Lonchura striata: one gene and its partner. The protein of the gene in region 1 binds, or shares a complex with, the protein of each later gene. Links are inferred from orthologs where the notes say so. Each region holds a gene or a part of one and is shown on either strand. Other genes may lie near its edges.

The links. The genes of interacting proteins can lie anywhere in the genome.
Region 2: CDHR2 (region 1) and MYO7B share a complex: the UniProt entries of both Homo sapiens proteins name them as parts of the IMAC/intermicrovillar adhesion complex. The link is inferred for Lonchura striata from reciprocal best matches to the Homo sapiens genes CDHR2 and MYO7B.

What each region holds. Positions count from the first base shown.
Region 1 is NC_134617.1:3,431,341-3,438,594, forward strand, and holds the start of CDHR2 (cadherin-related family member 2), read right to left. Parts: upstream 3,004-7,254; coding exon 2,912-3,003; intron 2,457-2,911; coding exon 2,398-2,456; intron 2,036-2,397; coding exon 1,970-2,035; intron 1,880-1,969; coding exon 1,740-1,879; intron 1,556-1,739; coding exon 1,502-1,555; intron 1,302-1,501; coding exon 1,212-1,301; intron 631-1,211; coding exon 541-630; intron 248-540; coding exon 125-247; intron 57-124; coding exon 1-56. UniProt on the Homo sapiens protein: Intermicrovillar adhesion molecule that forms, via its extracellular domain, calcium-dependent heterophilic complexes with CDHR5 on adjacent microvilli. Thereby, controls the packing of microvilli at the apical membrane of epithelial cells.
Region 2 is NC_134612.1:7,446,421-7,453,631, reverse strand, and holds the start of MYO7B (unconventional myosin-VIIb), read right to left. Parts: upstream 3,002-7,211; 5' UTR 2,936-3,001; intron 1,617-2,935; 5' UTR 1,592-1,616; coding exon 1,574-1,591; intron 286-1,573; coding exon 172-285; intron 1-171. UniProt on the Homo sapiens protein: Myosins are actin-based motor molecules with ATPase activity. Their highly divergent tails are presumed to bind to membranous compartments, which would be moved relative to actin filaments.

The sequences.
Region 1 (7,254 bases):
AGGTAAGTAAAGCTCTTCTGGATGGTCCAATTGTTGTGCAGCCATCCCCCGCCATCCTGAGGAGCAGAGCACCTGTCAGTCACCCAGCCCCTTTCCCTGCACCCCCAGCCTGGATGGTGCCCACCTGGGCGAGGATCTTGATCTGGTAGAAAGTGTTCTTGGCATAGTCCAGGGAGCCATTGAGCACCACACTGCCATTGGTCAGGATGTAGAAGAGCTGGTGATTGTTCACGTTGTCTGGGATCACCTGAGCAGGGGACATCAGCCTGTGTCACCAAGGCAGGGAGCAGAGCTGTCCCAGCAGAGACAGGGGCTCTATCCCCCTCCTTCTGCCAGGCTTGATCCGTGGGGACCCCCAGCCACCTGGTTCATCCCCAGCCTGAAACTGTTCAGCACCTTGCACCCATTGCCCAAAACCTCCCTGCCCCCCCAGAGATATGGGTCTGCCCTGGCCATGTCCCCCAGCCCCTCAGCACCACAGGGGTGGCCCAGGGGTGGGGTTTGGGTGTGGTGACCCACTCCACAGTGCTCTGAGCTCACCTCCTCGATGCGGTAGCTGACTTTGGAGGCGTTCCCGGTGTCGCTGTCGTTGGCAAACACGGTGTAGATGATGCTGTGCACGCTCGTGTTCTGGCCACACAGGGGGTGGTGGTGGAAGAGCAGGGGGGTGATGCTGGGCCTGGACCCTGCCAGCCCTGCCCTGGCAGGTTCTGGCCCTGCAGCACTGCCCAGTGTCGTGGGGCACACACAGGGATGAGCTGCTGCCCTTGCTCAGGCTGGGCAGAGGCTGGACCCCCTCGCTACCCTCCCTGGGGTCCCTTGGGAGCAGAGGCTGCACCTCAGCCCTGGGGTTGCTGGATGGGGGTCGGACTGAGCCCCACGCCCCATCTACACCTTGATTCAGTGTCACACTGTCCTGGGCTGACAGGTAGCTCGGGCACACCCTGAACTCATTGCAAGGGCAGAGTCCCAGTCACATTCCAGCGTCTCAGGGTGACACAGAGGCTCCCATCGGGAATTGCCCTGGTGATAGAGTGCTCCCAGGTGCTGGCTGCACCCCACGCCCAGGCACGCTGTCACCACACACCCAGCTGTGGGGCCACACTGTTCCCAGCCTGTTGTTGTCCCCCTGCTGGCACACCCATGCCACAGGAGCCACCCAGCACCCCTGCCCTGCTGCCCGTGGGGACTGGGAGGTCCCAGAAAGGTACCTCAGCGATGATGGCATTATATGGCAGGTATTGGAAGACCGGGGCGTTGTCATTGCGGTCATCCACGATGATGGTGATTTTTTTGGAGACCTACCAGGTGTCAGAGAGGGCACAAGGATGGGTGTGTGAGAGATGGTGGCCAGCAGAGCTGGATGCATTTCTGGCATCCCATGCCCACCCTGGCTAGCCAGCCAGCATCACCCACCCATTTCCAATTGTCTTCCCACTGAGCCTTGGCCATGGGGGCTCTCTTCCCCCTGCAGCCACCCAGCCCTTGGCCAAGCACTCACCTCGTTATTTACACCATCTGACACTCCGACAGTGATGGTGAGCTTGGCCTGGAGCTGAGGGGACACAAGGCAGGACTTGGTCAGGGCCAAAGTGAAGCTCAATCCTTGGATGTCTGAGCCCCAACCTCTGTGAGGACAATTTCCCCTCCAGGGAGTGACCCACAGGCTCTGCCTTCCATCCCCAAACCCCCAGACTCTCTCTCAGGCAGGGACATCTGATCCCATCTTCTGTCCTCACCTCACGGTCCAGGGAGCTCCTCAGTGTCACTCTGCCTGTTTTGAACTCAACAGAGAAGTAGAAGGCGTCTATCCCTTGGATTTGGTAGGTGAGAGGGTCGTTGTCAAGGTCATAAGCCTGCAGCTGGAAAGCAAACTGGCCTGGGGGCCCAGGCAGTGTCAGCCCCTGCCCAAAAACCCCCCAGTCACTCCTCTGACACCCCAGGCCCTTCTTGAGACCGCCCTACTCACCCAGCTCCAGGTCCTCAGGCACGTGGAAGATGGTCACGTTGATGATGGGGACTGTGTTTCCTAAAACTACAGGGGAGAGGAGCTGAGCACCATCACTGTGCCGGGCTCTGCTGGCACAGCCACGTCTGGCAGCACCTCCTCAGCTCCAGTCCCAGCTCCCAGCCGTGGCTGGGGTCTCTATGCAGGCAGGGGAACCCCCAGCCTCACCCCTGTGCTCATCCCACACCTCCAGACCATACTTCTCTTCCAGCTGCAGCCCCCATGCTTTCCCTACTGTCCAGCCCTGCCCTGCCCTGCATCCCCAGTGGGGCAGGCAGCTGTTTTGGGGTTGCAGCTTCCCCCAGGGAATGGAGAAAGAGTATTGGGAGTTGAAAGCAACTCCAACACCTTCCACTCACCCATGCCAGATCACCAAGAGGAGTCCTTACCTGCTGCCAGGAGGAAGGGGAGCAGCACCAAAGAGCGCCATGCCATCCTGCCAGGATGCCTGTGGGCACACACCAGGGAACAAGCACTTGAGAGACTGAGGCCTGCCCCCCAAACCCCTCCTGGGGAGCAGCCAGTAGGGCAGGAGAGGTGCTGGTGGGGACAGTCCCCTCTGCTGAGCCGGGCTGGTGAGCAAACACCAGGCTCCACACTGCACTCCTGGGCGTGGGCTCCCTGAGGACATGGCATGCGAGGACAGGGTTGGCCTCCAGGTAGAGGAGACTTTAGGTGTGCCTGGGGGACCCCAAGAGCCTGTTCTGGGCATGGCTGGAGGCTCCACTGCTTGTGCCCAACAGGGTCTCTCCAAGCAGTGCTTGGAGTAGCCCATGGTAGGACTGCAGTGTCTCCCTCCTTGTGCCGGGGTCTGTGGGCAGCTCCAGGGCTGGCAGACACCCCCACCTCCCCTCCATGCAGCAAAGTGCCCGTGGGACTGGGATAGGGGCTGACATCCCTTACCTGTGCCTGTGTCCCTGGGGATGCTGCCTCTGCACTCTCGTCTTGACACTGCCAGACCTTTGCCTCCTGCAGTAAACACGTTCATCAATCATTAACTGCAATTAAGGGGTGAGAAATCCCTCTCCCGTCTTCCATATTCCCTCTTCTCATCCCACAGCTCCCACCCAGCTCAGCTCCAGGCTCACTCCCCAAAACCAAGTCCCCAGGTGTCCATACTGGGTGCTGCCCCTCAGGATTCAGCCACCCCAGCCTGCATCCATGGAATCCCAGCTTCCAAGAAGGGATGTGGAGCCTGCAGGGGTGCAGAGGGATCCCAAACCCCCCCAGGAGACCAAAGGGGGGGTTAGGGAAATGCCCTGCATCCCCTGGGCTGGGGACACTGGGGTCCTACCAAGACAGGGGGGTGGGCACCAACCTTGTGGTGTGGCCACTGGGGTGGGTGCCTGGGGCCCTCTGCACCCCCTGCCACCCACTCCCCTCCCCAGGAGCTTGGCCCAGCCTCCCTGACCTACTTCAGACCCACTAGGGACAAGGGTGGATTGTCCAGCTCTGCTCAGGCAGAAAAGGACTGGGAGGTTGTGGTGGTGGGGGGGGGGGGCACGGCCAGCCTGTTGGACCCCCGCATCCGTGGCCTTATTCCCTGGAGAACACACAGGGCCTGGGTACTGGAAAAACTCTGGAGTCTTCCCAGACACTCAGCCTGCTCTGAGGTTTTCATCTCACCCTACACCCAGACAACCCCCAGAGAAGGGGCTACAGGGCACAGGCTGTGACCACCCCTTAGCAAACCTCTCCTGAGCTGTTCCAGGACCACCCCAGCTCCTGCAAAGGCTGCCCCAGGACATCCTCACAGACACCCCGTGAGCTGCCTGGGGTTACCCCCAGAGTCTCTCAGGGCTATCTTGGGGTGCCTCCCCAGAGACTCCTGGGGCTGGTGCTGGACACTGTTCTGCAAACTTCTCCTCGCTGTCCTGGGGCACTTCCACACCTCCCAGGGCTGTCCTGAGACATCCACAACGTCCTGAAAGGAGGTTGTAGCCTGGTGGGAGGCGACCTCTTCCCCCTGGCAACCGGTGAAGGTTTAGGTTGGACATCAGGAAGAATTTCTTCACGGAAAGTTTTGTCAGGCATTGGAATGGGCTGCCCAGGGATGTGGTGGAGTCACTATCCCTGGAGATGTTTAAGGAAAGACTGGATGTGGCACTCAGTGCCATGGTCTAGTTGACATGGCACTGAGTGTCTAGTCTAGTTGGGTCATAGTTTGGGCTGCATGACCTCAGAGGTCTTTTCCAACCTAGCTGATTCCGCGATTCCCTAATTCCCGTGATCGTTCCCAGCCCCGTCCCGGCGGCGTTTGTGCGCTGCCACTCGGAGCATTACGGCCGAGGAGCTCCGCCGCGCATTTCAGCGGCGCCGCTCTTGGGCTCATTACGGCAGGAGGCGGCGGGCGCGCCCATCGGCGGGCGCGGGGGGGGAGGCGGTGCCGCGCGGGGAGGGGGGCAGCGCGGCGCGGCCGGTTCCATCGGCGCGGCGGGCGCGGGGGCGCCATGAGGCGGGGCTGAGACCGGAGCGGGAGCGGCACCGGCACCGGCACCGACACGGAGCCCGGCGGGCCCGGCCGCCGCGCCATGCGAGCGGGCTGAGGGGCGGGCAGCGCCGGGGCACGGCACCGAGCGCCGCGGGCGCGCCTCCCGAAGGTACGGGGTGAGGCGGCGGCCGCAGGCCCGGGCCGTGCGGGGCAGGGCCGGGGCACCGGGGGGAGGCGGCGGGCAGGGCCCGGGGCTGGCGGGAGGCGGAGGGAAGGGGGAGGGCAGCCTCGGGGCGGCGGGACGGGGAGGGCGGCGGGCAGGGCGCGGAGCGATGGGGCGGATGCGGGGCTGCGGGGCCCGCTGCGGCGGGCGGAGGAGCGAGCGCGGCCCGGTGCGGCGGGGCCGGGCCCGGTGCGCGGAGCGGGCGGATGGCCGGCGCGGCCGGGGGTGGCGGCTGCCGGGGCATCGGGGCCCGGGGAAGCGGCCGCAAAGCGCAGCCAGGCCCGGTGCAGCCGCAGGGCGGTGGGAGGAGCCCCCGCTGCTGGGGGAGCCCCGCGGGGACCGGGGGCAGCGGGGACGGAGCCGGAGCGCTGCTGCCCGTGGCGGCTGTCCGAGCCTGCCCGGCCGGAGCCCCTTCTCGGGGTCCCCCGCGATCCCGGCCGGGCGGGAGTCGGGGGCTTCTGCTGAGGCTGGTTGTCTGGCTTCGGTTACGGGCTTCTGACTGGCTGTGTCCTCGTCCCGCTTGGCACCTCGCGGTGTCCCGTTCGCCGTTCCCCCGGACCCGGTAAACTGTGTCAGCTCGGGGCAGGCTCCGGTGTGGGAGAGGGGACGGGAGGGGAAGTGGTGAAACTCTTCGGAAAGTTGTCCCTGGAGAGGAGGTAGGAAACAAATGAGCCCGAGGTGACGGCGTGGGGGTAGTGGCACCGGGGGTGGTGGCGGTGGCACAAGCCGCGCCGCCGGCCCGGCAGGATCTGTGCTGGCAGCGTGGGCTGTGTGTGGGCCCGTGGCAGCCCTGTCCCACGGAGGACGTGTGGGACCACGTTGTGGGCAGCTGGAATGCACTCCAGGGTTTGCTCTCCCGGGCAGGAATTGAGCTCTGTGGCTAGGCAGGTGCTGTTCCTCCGTCTGGGGACAACCCCTCTTTCCAAGACCCTGGCTCTGTTTTGTGCTGGTACCTTGTCCACCAGCTCTGCACCGGCCCAGCACAACCGGCTGTGTGTGCCTGCAGCTCCAGACATCATCCCTGCCTTGCCTTCTCTCTGTCCTGTGCCACTGCCTTGCTCTGTCCCTCTATCACCTGCGCCCATGTCGGCTCTGATGCCCCAGGACCTCGAGGCCGCCCTCGAGGTGGGTCTTGTGCCCCGGGGGGATGCGCAGGGCAGAGCCCGGCGGGGCAGGTGGGTCCCGGGGCCAGCAGGAGCCCCGGGAGGAGGAGCAGCTGTCGGAGGAGAGCCGGCTGCGTCTGATGTCACTGCGGTGCATGGTGGGTAATTATGCACGTTGCAATGAAAATAATAAGGCCGGCTCCATAGTGTGTCTAAAAATACTGCTAATGCGGAGTGCCTGCTGGGTGCCTTTGTTCGTCACCTTTGGGTGTCTGCTCTGGGGCTGGCCGGGTGGTGTCACACCCCTCGAGCAGTGGGTTACGTTTAGCAGGTGAAATGTGGCCCCTCCATTCCCCCCCCGCACTGGGACACGGTGCCAGTGGAGACAGGGCAGGTGTTGACATGGGAGGTGAGGCAGGAGGTACCTGTGTGTGTTTTGGAGGCTTCAGTGCCACCTCCCTGCACGCAGCCATGCAAGGGGTCTCAGTGGGATGGCAAGGCTTTGTTCCCCTAGCCTTGCTTGGAGCTAGGCGCTCTCCAAGTGGTGGACAAAAATCTGTCCTGATATCCCCTGGCAAGTTCCAGCTCGTTCAAGTAGAGATCAGGATTTGGGCCCTGATGATCTGGTCTGTCCATTGCTGGCATTGTGTGGCCAGGGCAGAGCTCACTGGAGCTGTGGCTGCCACCATGGTGTGTCCTGGTCCTGATGGGACTCAGACTGTGGCAACTTGCTGTGCTCTGGCTGTGCAAAGGTGGGAGGGAGAAGGGATATGCCCCTGGAACAGAGAGAAATGATGTGATAGGTGCTGAGGGGCAGCTGGGTGCTGGCCAAGGGCTGGCCAGCACTCTGATGTCCACTCCGTGGGTTCTGCCCAGATGCTCTCGGTGCAGCTCTGGCTGCTCCCGTGGTCCCTCTGTCTGCTGCCAGGCACTGGAAGCTCCTGCTGCTGTGGAGGAAGAGGCTTGCAGGGGTGGCGAGAGCCATCTGGCTGGCAGGCTGGCAGGGGGAAGGTGTTGTGTGGCAGGGCAGCAGCAGAGGGCTGGGAAGGGCAGGAAACACTGAGCCTATGAGCCTGGGTCTCAGTGACGAGTCTCTTCCGCTTTGTGTGCAGGGAGGTCAGAGAGGTGGCAGCTGCTCTTGGTTTCAGCTGGTGCTTGTGGTGGGCTCTGACTCCAGCTGTCAGCTGTGGGAGCTGAGCCTTGGCCCTCTTCACTGTGGAGCAAACAGGGAGATGTCACCCTGCTGGCTTGCTGGGCTGCTTCGCCTTCAGGGTCATTGCTGTGTTCTCGGGGCCCTTCACTGGAGAGGGAGTGTCGCTGCTGCCTCTGTTCTTGCCAGGTGCTCACTCTGACCTCTGAAGGTACACATAGCAGTGATGTTCCCCTGAGCAGTGAAACACACTGTCCCTACCTGCTGGGCTGTGTGGCTCCCTTTGGTGAGTGAGGAACAAGGAACGGGGTAGGAGACTTTGCAAATCCCATTGATCCA
Region 2 (7,211 bases), on another chromosome or scaffold:
ATCCTATACTTGCCTTATTTCTATAGCCTTTCTTCCAGTATATCCTACCTATATCAAAGTCAGACCACCTGAACAGATGGAGCTTTGGTCTGACCTAATAGGGCCTTCTTTTGTACTTTGTACTTTTACATTTTATGTTAATCTTTTATAGAAGTTTATAGCATACCCCACCTTGCCTTCATCATCCTGCAGCAACATCCGTCCTGAGTCAGATTCCTTCACAACTGCCCCAATAGGGACATTAAATTCACTGTTTGGTTGAGTGTCCAGCCACACATGATCACCCTGGGGAGAAAAAAGCTACTGTTGAGTACAGTGACATACTTGATGCCACATAGCTCACAGGCAAACACCTCTTGGTCTTCCTTTTCTAGTTATTTGATTTCTTTACAAGTGTTTAGTTGAGTAAGTTCTTACTGCTTGCAGGCAGCACATTTACAGACCTTTGAATTCTGCTCCGAGCACCACAGCTGATCTGGAACATGACTTCGGACAAGTCATCAAACCCAGCTGTCTCACAAGAGGAAATGAGGCAACACTTTTTCCAAGAACAGCAATAATGCAGCTCCAGTACCTCTCAGAGGCTGACTGGGGGCACAGTGAATGCTGGGCAACTGGCTTGGCAGCCTCACATGAGCTATGATATTTTCTCAGAAGAGATTCTTGAGAACATAGACTTTGCCAGGAAAGAGAAAAACAAATAGATGTACATATTGGATGCCTGGAAATGTAAAGGCCTCTGTTGTGAGAAATTTTAGATATATATTTTTCCTGCTATAGCTGAAATGGGATCTCTCCATGATCTCTCTCATGAAAAAACCCACTAGCATTCTTTATCCAGCCCAGTCCCTCTCTTCACATAGGTGGAGGCTTATCAACATCTGGCACCTCTGCAGAGCAAGCAAGAACCTGCTCTGCTGTGCCTGGAGAAAGGGGTGAGCCACAGCTGCCCTTTCCTAGGAATAAGCAACATCTTGGAGTTTTCTGTACCAGTGTCCTGGTTATACTTCCCTACTGCAGGCTCTCGGGAGCACCTTCTCTTGCTCCAGTCCCTAATACAGATTCAAACAGAAAGATGGAATAAGAAATGATCAGAGTTGTAGATCAGTGTACTTTCTAGCTGTGTCTTGTCATATACAACTTTTGTTACACACCACAGCACTGATTGTCATAGTTTCAATGTTTTTACTGAAAAAAATATTTCTTTTTCCTCTCAAAATACTTTGTGGCTTACATTTAAAACCAAACAACCAATGTTAAGCATCCATAAACATTGCACAAGATTATGAAGAATGTTACAGACTAGCAGCTCTTATTTGTGTTGAATAAAACTCCAAAGGTAACTTGTGTAGTTTCAGTGCCACACCTTGTGACAGAGGTCACCTGCTCAACAAGAGGATGGCCTGGTAAGGCAAGACACCTCTGCTTCCCTAGTCTAGGCTAAAATTGTTTTATACCTTGTTGATACTGGGTTATTGCAACTTTCCTTTGATTGAATCATGATGGTAAGGTAATATTCCTCCTCTTTGGGCCTCAGGCTAATCACTCAATCAGAGCAAAGAGTAGGACTTACCTTTCTGAAAACCACCATTATGTTTCAGATCACTGTATGCAACCTGCATGCCAAGAACATAATGTTAGGTCAGAAAAGGGCTTTGATGAGAACAGACAGTGGGGTTTCCTTGCAAAAAAATAACATCAAAATGTCTTGAAATATTTTTTTTTTAAGTAGAAGAGATCATAGTAAGATACACTCAATGTAGAAACAATGACACCATCTACACAAAGCAAAGAACCCTACAGTTCTCTGAGTTCTATCATATAACCCTGGAGATGCTCTCAGCCCTAAAGATTTCACTGTCCACATTTTCATACCAAATAATTCTCTCAGTCAACTACTAGGCACAATTATTGTCTGAACTTCAAGGTTGGCTCACTAATAAAAAGACTCCACAGTACAATGTGATTTGATGCACAGCAGAGTTACCTTTAGCTAGTCCATTGACCCAACAGTTCAGTGGCTATCCCAGAGACACAGGTTTAATTAATACTTTCTGAGCTGAGTTCCCTCATACCCTCCAGCTTGAACCCACCACTAAACAGAAACAGAGGGTTAGAATTCACCTTCCTTGGCTGGAATGGGAGGGATTGCAATAAAGGCATGAACAGCAAAATAAGGGACTGGAGGGAACCACGATAAAAGTAGGAACATACTATTAAGAACATTACAGCCAAATCTCAGTGGCCAGAAATCTACAGCATTCCTTTAATTAAGGGATGGTGCAGTTTAGGCTGTCCTAATCAAGAAACTGAAGTCTTCAAAGCAACTTTATGTCCCACAGAGCTGGATTTTGGGAGTGATTCCATGTCTAGGATGATTTGCCAGCTGGTCTTTCATATTCTGTTATTCTTACAGTGAAGTCCTCATGATCTCATTCAGGACTCAGAGGCAGGACCTATGTATCAACTTCAACACTGAGATGGCCTGTTGCTGTGAGTGGTGCAGGGTGGAACAGAAGCACAGTCCTTGGCAAATACATGCTAAAGATGGGCCACAGTCAGTGATTCACAACTGCCAAGCCCTTTTTCACCTGCACCAGAAACCAGAATATGGCAAAAGAGTAGAAAAGTTGGCCCCGAACAAGGAGGGAGTGGCAGCTGCAAACACAGAGACAGCCATAGAGGGTCACATCAAAGGGACAGCTGTCTCCAGATCCTGTCTGACAGGAGCCAACAGCAGATGTGGAGGGAGGAGATGCCGTATAATCCCAGGATATGCAGTTCCAACACCTAAAATTCTTATTCCCAGAGTGGCCACCCCCTGCACCTGGTTGCATGGTCACTTCCTGGCCAAGCCTGGCTCTCTCTGCTGCTGCTCTTGACAAAGTAATTCTGCACCATAAACCAAATCACACCCCACAGGATGGGCATTTACCTCTCCAGAAGAAATCTTCACTTTGCGGCTTTTGCAACAGGTCGCTCTTTTTCATACGCATTGGAGTAAGAAGGGAAAGGATGGTGAAAGTGGCCCTGGTGCCATTAAGTTACAGTTCTCCACTGCACAAAGGAGGAAATGACTGAAGCACGGTTATTTATTACAGGACTTTGCTCCCAGTTCAGTGTATATGTCACTTCCAGGTCAGGTGTTCCAGGGAACACAAAGGCTAATTCTTGCCTGAGTGAACCTTAAACTTAAGTCTCTCCACTAGGCCTGTATCCTTTCAGATTTCTGGAAAGAACTCTCAGAAGAAAACCTTTAGCATCTGGTCTTATCCTGCTCCAGCATGACTGACTTCCCTAAGACTGTCTCTCAGCCTATTATGTTATGTATGAAGAAAATCAGACCCTCATTTCTTCATCAAAACCTCCCCTTGGTTTTCCATAGCTCTTTTCTGCAAGAAAATGCCCATTAGTCTGTGTTCTCTCTGGTCTGTGTTTCACAGTACTTAGAGTTCAGACCAAAATTAACTCATCACATTTAACTGAAATTCATAGTACACACCCACATAATTGGACAAAACATCCTGGTTTCACTCTCATTAATTTATCTCTCAACAAACACTCTTAACAAACATTTTGTCCCTGTGTTTCAGAATCCAGGTGCATGTTAACTCCCTAGCTGTCCACTTCTCTCTTCCCAAAATGGGACAGGATGGCTAAGAATTTTCCTCTGTCTATTGACTCCATATGTACTCTCTGTGGCCTTCTTGCAAAACTGGTAAAATTCCAGTATGGGAAAGAAACAGAAGTGTAGTACATATGTAGAGAGGCAGACACAGGGTTTATGCAGCCAAAGCAAGAACTCAGGAATCAAGCACATTCCAGCATTTATGATGAGCCCAAACAGTGAAGATGAGATTTTTTCCAAGTACCTTAATCCAGCCATGTCACCTTCCTCCGGGGCCCTGTGCACAACACTGTGCAGTAGTCTGTGTACCCACTATTAAACTTGCAAATATAAATGTGCAATAATTGTGAGCATGTGCTTATTTTCTTGTTTCCGAGGTTCAGTGTGGCTGTGCTGTATAATGGGGCCCCTGATGTAGCTCCACGTCCAAATCAGAGGTAAGAATTCAAGCATAACAATAAATAGTTGGGAGTAGCATGTGTTTATCAACATCACATATTTGTGTTTTAATGTCAGCCTCCTTACTTGAGTTTTTGTTCAAGTCTTACAGCAGCAGATACAGAAGCAGAAATAAAATGTAGGCCCTTCAGGGCTCAGAGACTTTTGGAGAGAAGCAGAAAGCCACAGAGAGCTTTCTTCAAGTTTCTAACTGCGCAAGCAAGATTTTGCTTCAAAGTAGTTCTTTAGCAGACTTATTTTTGATACAGTATTTAGATGTCTACATGCTGTATGTGATTAACAAAATTCCAAGTACTGGTTTTATTAGTTAAAGGTCAAATAGTGGCAAAGAAATCCAAGTACATACTTTTATACTACAAAGGCAGATATCTAAAACCAAAGCTTTTTGTATAATTGGAAAAAAAATGCTGTGCATATTCCTTCAGCAAACAAAACATACCTGCTGAAATTCCAAATGGAGCCTGTTTGAGGGCAGAGAATCTCATTCTAAAATTAACTACATTGTTAACAATTGTGCCCAAGATACAGTGCCTGTGCTACTTCAGAGAGAAATACAGGATTTATGTCCTATAGACACTGTACTAGATGAAATCATAGGGAAATCAAGGTCATCTGAAAGAAAAGTACAACTTATTGTACAGCTGAAATAGGCACTAGAAGGGAGATTTTGATTTCCACAGCTGACATATTCAAGAGGTAGAAAGCAAAAGCTGAGGGAGCAGGGACTTGATATACCAAGGGGAAGCAGCTAGGATGCTCTGTGCAGCACATGCAGCTAATGGGGTGAGCAGGCTAAAGGTGCCTCCAGAGAAGGACCTGTGAGTACACAGGGGCAGCTCAGGCTTGGCAGGCACTGAGCTGTGCAGATGGGAAAAGACAGGAGAGGAGCTTGCCAGGAATGAGCAACGCGATGTACTGCTGAACACAGAGTTTGGTGAGGGACTCTGCAGGGCACAGGAACATTTGTAGTGGTAATTAGGGGTGATCTGTAGCATGGTCTATGCTGATTAATTGTTGTAGGCTTTCCTTTAAGCAAATTGCTGATGGTGAAGATAGTGACATTACATCTTAAGTAGTAAAGCTCAAAAAATTATTATGTAGCAAGACACTGGCACAGGCTGCCCAGAGAAGCTGTGGCTGCCCCATCCCTGGAAGTGTCCAAGGCCAAGTTGGACAGGGCTTGGAGCAACCTGGGATAGTGGAAGGAAGTTCCACCCTGCTATGGTGGAACTGGATGAGCTTTAAAGTCCCTTCCAATCCAAACCATTCTGTGATTCTATGATGAATGCTGCACCGAGAAAAGCAACAAAATAAAATTTGAGGAACCCTGGTAAATTTAATTCTGCTGTTGTTCAAAGTAATAGGTCTGTCCAGATAGACATGTGTTAACAAAACTGCTCTTCCTGACACTTCCTAATTAAGAGATTGATGTCAGGATCAAAGGGTTTAATTTGCTCATGGCACTACCTTTCATATTTTCTCTCCAGCTAAAGCAAAGTGGCCTCGTCACTTCTGCGTCACCAGGTCCTGGATACCAAACATCATTTTATGTTAAACTAGTTATTTCTCTGAGGTTTCTGAAGCGAGGTGGATTGGGTGTAACAATTTGCAATTTAAACTGTTCATTCAGCAGTCCTCTTGCCTACACTAACCTCCTTCCCTTCCTCTAAGCAGATTTGTAGCTCTAAGTCACTGATGTCCGTTAACTCTGAAAGAGGCAGTGCAGGAAACAAACTAAATAAGAAGTACATACCATTACAGGATTTCCAAGTGCATCGCATAGTTTTCTTGAGCATTCTGTTCCTCAGGGAAAGGCTTATTTCATTCCAGCCTGTTCATGGAGTTGCACAGTGAGGCAGACTGGCAGGGCTCTGGGATCTGTGTCATTACACACCTTCACACTTGCCAAGTGGGCGCTGCTTACGCTGCTTGGTAGAAGACAGGTCATTCTCCCCCACTGTGCAATCCCATTATGGTCTGACTGTCACTCCATCCTTCCTTTTGGAAAGCAGCCAGGATGGTATTACAAGAGTATGTTACAGACTGATACTGCCAAGCTGTGGCTCACGAGGAACAAAGGCATGTGCATGTTAGTGTACGCACGCACTTACTGCAGAACGAGGGCTGGAATGGATGCCCAGTTATTCAGCATTGATGAGGTGAGGTTGTTTCAGACACAGTGCTCCCTCTCCTGTGTGATGCATGTGGCATGTCACAAGTAGGTTAGGAGGTATCATTTCAGAAAGACTGGAATTTATAACAATTAGGAAGAGTGATTCCTAATTCCTTCCACTCTCAGTAAATGCATAAAATATCCATTCTTTCATCAGTGATGCCTCAGTGCAATCTGGAATTTGGGACAGTAGCTCACCATGACTGCAGAACATGACACATACCTATAAAGGACTAATTTCCAAGGCAGACTATCATCATACTCTGATCCTCTTGGAAATTTTAGTATAGGATAGATTTCTGTGTTTTCTAGGCCCTTTGGTAGAATTTCCAGGTACCTTGGTAAACATTATTCACAAGGGATTTTTTGGTTTGGTTTTTTTTTGTTAGTTTCTATTTATGTTTTCCCTTGTCCATTATTTTCTGTTACACTACTCCCAAGTTATTTCCTTATTTTTTTATCTGTTGTGTTGTAAAGTTGCGATCCTGCCTTCGATTTAGTCAGTTGTGTAAAGTCATTCCATTTCTTTATGGAAGTCAGAGAAGTGCAATGACAGGAGCTTCCCATCACATACTGCCACATGTGCCAGCTCCTTCCAGAAAAGATCGCAGTGAAACTGCACAGTGCAAAGACCTAAAAGAAGTAAAAATCATGAGAACAAGAAAAAAGTGCATGATACCATTAACAGCATGGTCCTGAGCCTCACTTAAGGATCTTTGTGGCTATCTGGAAAAGACCAGAGCAGTAGAGCTGTAAACAGACACATTATCTGTGTTTCAGGGAAACAAAACAAAACAAAACAAAACAAAACAAAAAAAAAGGTTTTCTGCATTTTTTCTAAGAATTTAGGATTGTATCTGAGAAACATCTGACTCCACTGCCAATTTCTCCTTCTAAGTGTTTTGCTATAGAAGATGTTGAGTAATGACTCAGTCCTGAGAGTTAGCTGTG